2 linked regions of the Canis lupus familiaris genome follow. The protein of the gene in region 2 binds, or shares a complex with, the protein of the main gene of each other region. Links are inferred from orthologs where the notes say so. Each region holds a gene or a part of one and is shown on either strand. Other genes may lie near its edges.

What was found. The genes of interacting proteins can lie anywhere in the genome.
Region 1: the proteins of SCN7A (region 2) and SCN3B are in contact, whole or in part, in a cryo-EM structure (PDB 7TJ9), measured with the Homo sapiens proteins. The link is inferred for Canis lupus familiaris from reciprocal best matches to the Homo sapiens genes SCN7A and SCN3B. Residues at the interface, in NP_002967.2 of Homo sapiens: Arg269, Glu293, Tyr296, Leu298, Glu299, Leu305, Gln315, Cys316, Pro317, Glu318, Gly319, Tyr320, Asn922, Ile923, Thr926, Cys927, Lys929, Ile930, Phe939, Ile956, Tyr957, Asp959, Gln960, Ile966, Tyr970, Met973, Ile974, Tyr977, Ile978, Leu981; in NP_001035241.1 of Homo sapiens: Val25, Cys26, Val27, Glu28, Val29, Arg44, Ile46, Lys50, Arg51, Glu52, Glu53, Val54, Asn95, Gly96, Ser97, Asp99, Gln101, Asp102, Phe126, Phe128, Ala130, His131, Pro133, Val135, Thr154, Ser155, Ser158, Glu159, Met162, Leu165.

The regions. Positions count from the first base shown.
Region 1 is NC_049226.1:10,827,893-10,831,540, reverse strand, and holds part of SCN3B (sodium channel subunit beta-3), read right to left. Parts: intron 838-3,648; coding exon 699-837; intron 1-698. UniProt on the Homo sapiens protein: Regulatory subunit of multiple voltage-gated sodium (Nav) channels directly mediating the depolarization of excitable membranes.
Region 2 is NC_049257.1:11,861,922-11,866,335, forward strand, and holds the start of SCN7A (sodium channel protein type 7 subunit alpha), read right to left. Parts: upstream 2,821-4,414; 5' UTR 2,496-2,820; coding exon 2,486-2,495; intron 2,386-2,485; exon of another isoform or gene 2,256-2,385; intron 1-2,255. UniProt on the Homo sapiens protein: Sodium leak channel functioning as an osmosensor regulating sodium ion levels in various tissues and organs. While most sodium channels are voltage-gated, SCN7A is not and lets sodium flow through membrane along its concentration gradient.

The DNA.
Region 1 (3,648 bases), on a different chromosome or scaffold from region 2:
AGAGCGGCCTCTTCGACCCTCACACCCCACCATTGCTTAGATGTGCTCACTCCTGAGTGACCACGGCTTTGGCGAAAATGGCAAAGGCACACTCTGGACATTGGGGAATGAGAGCCCCTACATGGGTATTCGATTGCTGCCAAGGTCCAGGATGAAGAACATGTGGGCTCGGAGCTCCGTAGCTAATAAAAGGCAGTACCCAGGTGGCCTGGTGAGTTCCACAGTGTACAACAAATGGCTGAGAGTGACACAAAAACATGAATGTTTGGAATAGATGGGCCTAAATCCCAGCCTCTCCTCTCAGTATCTGTGGCCTCAGCAAGCCACTTAACCTCCATAGGCCTGTGTTAGCATCTATAAGATGGTCATAATAATGCTAACTTCATAGGATTGTGATGGCAGCTTATGGCTTTTTGTTTTGTTTTGTTTTGTTTTTAGCTTATGGGCTTTTACATCAGAGGTTAACAGTACCGGTTAGGAGTTAGCAGACACAAATCAAAACCTTGCTTTGCCTCTTACAATGGCCTTGGGCAAACTCTCCCGAGCTCAGTTTTCTCATCTGTGGGTATATTAATTCAGCCTCCCTTGAAGATCATGGTGAGGAGAGTGGAGGACTGTGTCAATTGCTTAGCACCTCACCCGTGACAGCAAGCACTCGAAGGGGCCAGCTAGCATTATGTTGGCATCTTAGAACTTACGCATTTTCTTGGGCCGCCTCTTCAGCCTTTGAGACCTTCCTGTAGCAATATATCATCTCAATGAGCAGCCACAAGGTGAGGAAGACCAGCAGGATGTACATCATGATCTCTGAGACCACAGAGGTGAAGTCCTCTCCAGCTGCAAGGGGGACAATGAGGCTTAGAATGTGCATGTCCAACAAACCCAGAGCTGTCACTGGGTCAGAGATATATGAGACCTATTTTTAAGAATGGCTTAATGGCTTAAGTAAGTACTGGTTCTAAGGAACTCAAGAAGGCTTCAGAGTGATTTAATATCCTCTGATGCTCCTGTCTGTCAGCTTTCTCACCAACTTTCTTCTGGGGTGGGGGTTGAGGAGGAATGAGGAGTGGAAGAAATAATAGAGCAGTGGAAGCAATCTTGGAACGGCCTGAGATATAAGAGCTGCGTCCCTATTTTGTGTGAATCATCATTGCCCTTATTTGAGACCATTTGCCTAAAATGTAAGGCAAGGGTAAAACCGTTCACACCATTGCATTACCTGGCGTGTTCAAGAATATCTTGTGAGATGTGAAGGTCCACACAGATGTGGGGAGCGTATCCCGTCCAACCACCTGTGTCCTCTGAGCTTAGGGTGGCAGAGGGAGAGAGGGTGGGACACATGTGTGGGGCCAGTACGGTCAGCCTGCCCGTGGTCTGGGCGTGCTCTCTCCACGTCTGGATGGGAAACAGGGTCCTTCCCAGCCCACTTTTCTGCTAGGTCATCCCAAAACCAAACAGAAATGAGAACTGGAGCATTCCATGTATTAAGCAGACTTTCTGAAATACAAACCTGATCCTGCCATTTTCATGCTTAAAACCCTCCATGTTCCATGCTGCCCTCAGGAGAAAGACCAAACTCTGTTAACAGGGCATGTGGGACCATTCACAGTCCGGCTCTTTTCTCCTCATTTCTGCTTGATGCACCAGCAAAACGTCACTTCTCATATACACTGTGGTCTTTGGGGATCTGTGGACTTTTCTTCACCCTCTTTCCCCTTCCTCATTTCCCCTTCTGTGACTGGACTCCCTCTGCTACCTCTGTCCCCATATCCTCTCCTGCTTTTCCATCCCCTGACCATTCTTCCCAGTGCCACCAAAGTCCCCCGCTCTGTGAAACCTGCCTCAGCCTCTCCTCTGAGCACTTTTTCTCATCCGTCCGTTGTTATTGTGATGTGTTTCTCTCTCTTCTCTAGTGAGTGTTTGCTTATTAAGAACACATTTTACATATTTCTGAATTATCCACCTGTCGTTTCATCCCGGCGTGTCTGAAGTACTCAATAAGTATTTGTTGAATGAATGAATATAAATAAATATCGATCTTTGTTTCACGGCCAACCCAAATGACAATTAAAATATGATATATGGCAAATTGTCCTGATACATCTTCCTTTCTCATGGGAAAGAAGATTGCAGCCACATATTCTGTTGCTAACTCCTACCAGTGAATTAGATTCATGCTCCTCGGTTATTCATAGGCCCCGGTCATCCATAAGGCCTCGCTCATTAAAAGCACAGAATAGCTCCTACCATGACCCTCAGCTCTGAGAAGCAGTCCAAAGACTCCAGGATCACCCACGTTTCCTGGATGCTGGACCTCCTGAGGCTAGAGGTCATAGATGGAGCTTGAGGCACAGAAGAACACCATGCACATCAAATGCCTTTTTGTGGGCTCGACATTACCTGATTTGTGATGCATTCATCTCAAGGAACATGCTTTTTAAATGCAATAGCCTGGAAGTAGTAACACAGGAAGAAGCCATCCATGCTCAGTATTTTTAGTCACTTCTAGGTGAAGAGATCTCAGATTTTTGTCTTAGAGCCAGGAGGTCAGAGCTTAGGGCAGGATAAGTTCATCTTGAACAAAGAGAACCAGAGAGATTCTGGGAGAACATAGGAATGGAGGAAATGTAGTGGGGTGTGTCAAGGTGGAGCGTGTGGCTCTGAGCCTCATGAGAGCAGTGAATGTGGGTGGCGGTGTTCTCAGGCTGCCATGGGGTCACAAAGGAAAAGGAAAAGGAAAAGGAAAAGGAAAAGGAAAAGGAAGGAAGGAAGGAAGGAAGGAAGGAAGGAAGGAAGGAAGGAAGGAAGGAAAAAAGTCATGAAACGAAGGAGAAGAAAAAAAGAGTAGCAAGGAGTGGGATGGTAGTAGAAGGAAAAAGAGTCAATGGACAGAGAGGTAGCCTGGTGGGCGAAAAATCTGGCTTGTAGTCCTGCACCTGGTGCTAATTTGCTTCATGTCCCTAGGCAAGCCCCTCACTGATCTCCCCACCACAAAATGAGAGGCACCAGAGCCGCACCCTCCAAGCAATCACCTGGGGAGTCATTTCTATGACATAAGCCAGACCTCACTCCAACTGCCAAAATCACACATACCCACAGGAGTGCAGAGATGTCTACACTGAAGGAAAGCCCCCTGGGCGATTCTGACTCCTGCTCTTTGTTCAGAACACCTGGATGAAATGAGAGCCAAGCTTCCCTCCAGCCCTACCATCCCGAGAGGCTCTGTGGTTCTGATGACAGACTTGTTTTCCTCCTATTCTGGCCCAAGCCTTGCTCTGGTGCCCAGCAGGCGGCCTGGTTCAGCTTCGCCACCCTTTCCACTGGAGGCAAAAGCCTGAGAGAGCAGCGGGTGAGACAGGCACCTTCCCAGGGTCCGGCGGGCACAGCCAAGTTCCCGGTGGTGAGCAGTAGAGGGCGCCGGCTTCTCTTCCCCGGGGAGAAGAGGTGTGTAAACAGAGAGGATAATGGAACTTCTGAACAGAAAAATACCTTAGAGAGCTTCCAGTCCAACCCATTCCAGGTACACAAGAGGAGATGTGCTCAGAGGGGGAAGACAGCTCATCAGGCCTAAATGCCAGTGGTCCAAGGGTGCTTCTGCTCGTTCAGAATTGACCTACTCGTTTTAGTCCTGTTGTCCTCATCAGGACC
Region 2 (4,414 bases):
GAACAAATATATGGAAATCATGATCTCAGTTGGGCCAAGAGATACATACACACCAGGTGAAAAACATCCCTAGAAGCCCTTGGATGAAATTCTCTCTTCAGCCTTAAAGTTTTCTTCCTTCAGCATTGCAGAAGGGATGACTTCCTTGCCTGGCCTTGATCAGCTCACCCTAATAGAAGAGAAAGGGGCCAACTCAGGGAGAAATGAGATCTGTACAAGTTCATATGACGGTGAGTGACTACATTGCTAATAGCTAGTAATGGGAGGGACTTATACATACCCTCTCACAACTGATAAAACTGATACTGGTTAGTGAAAATAGTAGGACCAGAGTCCCAGAAATCAAGAACATCGCTTTTACACTAATGCTTCCACCATAAGCTTTCAAGAGAATCTACGATGCTAGGTTTAGGGTTGTTAGTCAGTTTCTGGGCACCCCTGTTGTGGTACAGATCCTACCATAATGAGAACCTAGGGCTGAGGTCTATCAGGCTACTCCTTCCCTAAATAAGGTGTTGAGTAAATACTGCTGTTTCATTCCCAGAGTGCTTTAAAGCTGTATTCATCCTACTGGGGCAAAATTCATGGGAGTGTATATCAACTGCCCTACCAGAGCCTCTCCCACAGGAGGCTGTGAGACAGAATGCCCAGTTCTTAGGTGTTTGGCTCTACCTTCTGCTCTTTAGTGGAGGATGATAGGCAGCAGCAGGTCCTGGGACCTGCATATGTCATCTGGGGTCTCTAGATCTCTTTTCTGGAGCCTACATCTAATTTCAGGTTTTTCTCCTATGGTTTTCAAACACATCAAGGGGGAAAGAAGGCGCTCACAGTACCTCTTCTGAGTCCAGGATTATAATAAATCCCAGAAGTTAAGAGTAGAATATTGTATACCTAAACTTTTATTTCTCCTATATTAATTAATTAATGAGCCAAATAAATTCACCAATATCTAATATACTTGCATCCCAAGGAAGTAAGACCACATACCAAAAATAAAATTTAGAGCTAAAAAGAGGAAGAGGATAGGGCATATTTTGAGAATATTTAAAATTATTTACATGTGTTAACCATGGCACATGAGGATGCAATCTCACAGGCTAGAATATTCTTTAAACTATACAGGTGGCAAGAGATCAGAACCTGGATTTGAATATTTTTTCCTTTAGTGCATTGTAGTGAGGTTGTCGAAGCCCCTTTCATTTTTATATAGACATAAAATGAGAATAGTAAAGTGGATAAAAACACAAAACAATTCCTTATACAAGCAACAGTTACACGTGATATATTCACAACATCCTTCATGTAATCTGTTATTCAGTCCTCACCAGGATATGTAAGTTTTTGATGTGTCACTTACAAATTAGAAGAATAAAGCTTAATCTAACATGAAATAATTAATTTCATTTCTAAAAAATGAAAATTTATTTTTATCATTCTAAATCTCAATGTCTTCATTGGATTTTCAGCTCATTATTGATTAGCCTAGTAACCTCAACAAATTACCTACAGGCCTTATCTTCTTCACTTGTAAAATTAGTGGCTGGGTTGTAGAAACTTTAATTAGGGCTGGAAAATAGCAGGTATTATGCACAGGACTCTGTTTATTATAGGGCCGAGATTCCTTCTATTTTGCTATAAACTACTCTCCTAAACAATAGCCAGGAATAAAAGTATCCACAAAAATACTACCCATACTCATTACAAGAGAATTTTCTGACCAATATCCAAATTTGAGTCCATCATTTCCATTAATAAAGGGAGCATATCAGTGTGTCATTCTACATATTTTTTATCACTTGTCCTACTTTGACCAATATCCTAAGTATTGTAGTCAACATATAACCAGAGTCACAATGAACACATCATCACTTCTAGAAGATAACTTCCAGAACATATGCAGTTCACAGGCTAACCAAGATAACAATAAAAACAAACCTGTTGATCCAAACAATACCAAAATGCCCAGCCGTTTAAACTGCACACCATTTCCCATCACATCTATGCCTCTGATTTTTTTGTTTTTATTTTTTTAATCTATGCCTCTAATTTTATACTGTTGATTCACATATGAAAAGCATCGATCTTAAAATTACTAAGTTACTTAAGAGACAAGATTCCTTCAAAGTATATTCCATCTTGCTGTGTAAGCTTTTATTCTCTCTCTTCTATCATTGTGTCATGTAACTAGAAGTCGTTGCCATATAGGATTTCTAGAAATTTTTCACTAACAGAGCCTCTTGGCTTCAGAAGCTTACCTGGTGGGATGAGAAAACTGACCACAGACACAGCACATAGTAAACATCTGCAGACCAACGCTGCTTTCGAAGTAGCTCTCTTAATTCAGGTCCAGAATCTTAAATCTACTGCTAAAGACCCTAAGGGTGTGTATGGGGTGGGGCAGGCTGGGGGTGGGTGGGAAAGGCTGGCAGCAGATGGCGGCTATCACCATCCTGGGGCTGGGCACACAGCAAGAAGAGGCACTTACTTGCGACCATGTGACAGGTCTCCAACAGCACCTGGGGAAGGAACCCTGAGAAGCACAACTCCCTGGAGCCCTTTTCTCCTCCTGGGCTTCTTTTTCTTCCCGGATCTCTCTGGCTTCCTGAGTTCTGGTTGCTTAGGAGGTGTTGCTAGGCTGGCGTCTGCCCTCACCAGCTGATGCTACAGGCCACGACGGCTCGGCGGTGAATGGGCCCCCACTGAATTCCCAGCTAGAAACCGGGTCTTTGGGGTGGCTGCCCAGCCACTGACCCGCAGACCCCTCCTGGCCAGACGCGCAGTGGAGCCGCGCCTGCCGCCTTGATGCTGTTTTTGTGTCCTCCCTCCTCCCTCCCATCCCCCAGCCACGCCACCCTCTCCCCCGCCCTCATCCCCAGGCCGGTGCGCGACTTCGCCTTCCAGACCGGGCGTGGGCGGGGTGATGGAGACGGAGCCTGCCTAGGCCTGAACTGCAGCTGCAGCGCGTCTCCTCCACAGCTGCCCCAGGAGGGCGGAGGCCAGAGGAGAGGGAGCGGAGAGTTCTTCGAGAGCTTGAAAAGATGGAGAGAAGTGGAAGGGGATGCAGCTAAGGGTTCTGGAAGGCTGGGAATAGGAGGGAGATGGGGGAGAGGAAGAGAGGAAGGCAGCAAACTCATGTCTTAACCTCTAGTCGCGTTCTCTATCCTCTTGCATAGCTGCCCCAGTAGAGCTTGTCAGGGGGCAATTGTCAGCCTGCAGTTTTCAGACCTGAACATCACTTAGGGATGTGTGTGTGTGGGGGTGGCCTGTTAAGGAAGGAATGGGCTGGAGCTACTACAACCTCATTCTAGATTTCTTTCCCACTCTGGTGATTTGAGGTACAAAGAGGAAAAATCATGCATATTTGGAAAAACTGGTGTGCAGCAATGAAGTTTGGGGGTGAAGGGAAGAGATGTTGGACCTTCTTTCCCAAAGGGAGTTTGGAAACTGTTACATCATAGAATGTTCACTTATAACTCTATCTTGTTTGCAAATGGTGATGTTTCTTTAAAAAAAGACAAAAACAAAAACTATTTCTACAACACACCAGGAAAAAATAACAAAAATGAGGAAAAGGGAAAAGAAACCATGTATATTTATGAGAGGCTTTAAGTTTATATTCCAAAGTGTGAGAAAGAAGTGTAAAGTGGAACTAAACACACACTGGTTCTCTGCATACCATGTCAGATACTGCATGTTTCATCCATGATTCACAGAAAAGGCCTTGTTACATGTATTTTGTTTGTTTAAATTAACACTTGTTATGAAAGACTTCAAACATATACAAAAATACAAAGAAGGTTTAATAAACTCCAATGTACTCATCACTCTGCTTCAGTCACACTGCCTCAACTATTGTCAACACATAGCCAATCTAGTTTTATCTATGCTTGCCCTCACACCTTGGATTAGCTTAAAAGTAGTCCAGACAACATAATATTTTATCCAAAATTATATTAACATAAGTCTCTGCATAAGCACTTTAAAAATACAACCCCCTCCATACAACCCAGTACCATTATCATACCTAATAATTAACAATTACTTCATAGTGTCAAACATCCACTTGATATCTTTTTAACAAACAATGTATGGATTATCATCTCTTCTTTCCCACACTTTGTGATGGCAGTACAAGTGAATGTTCTAGTGCACAGAACTCTCCTTTGGGGCAATCCAACTTATCTATCCCTTTTCACCCAGAAAAATCTATGCATCTTTCAGTATATTAAAACATAAGAACATTTAACAAATTTAATATTAAATATTTTAAAGCTTAAATAATATACTTGACATAAACTTCTTTGTGTAATGTGTAGTGAAGAGGCAACTAATCCCAAGACACTATGCAAACCAATAATAGAAATAAGAGACAAACAGAAGGGAAAACAATGATGTTGGACTCATCTTCTGAACT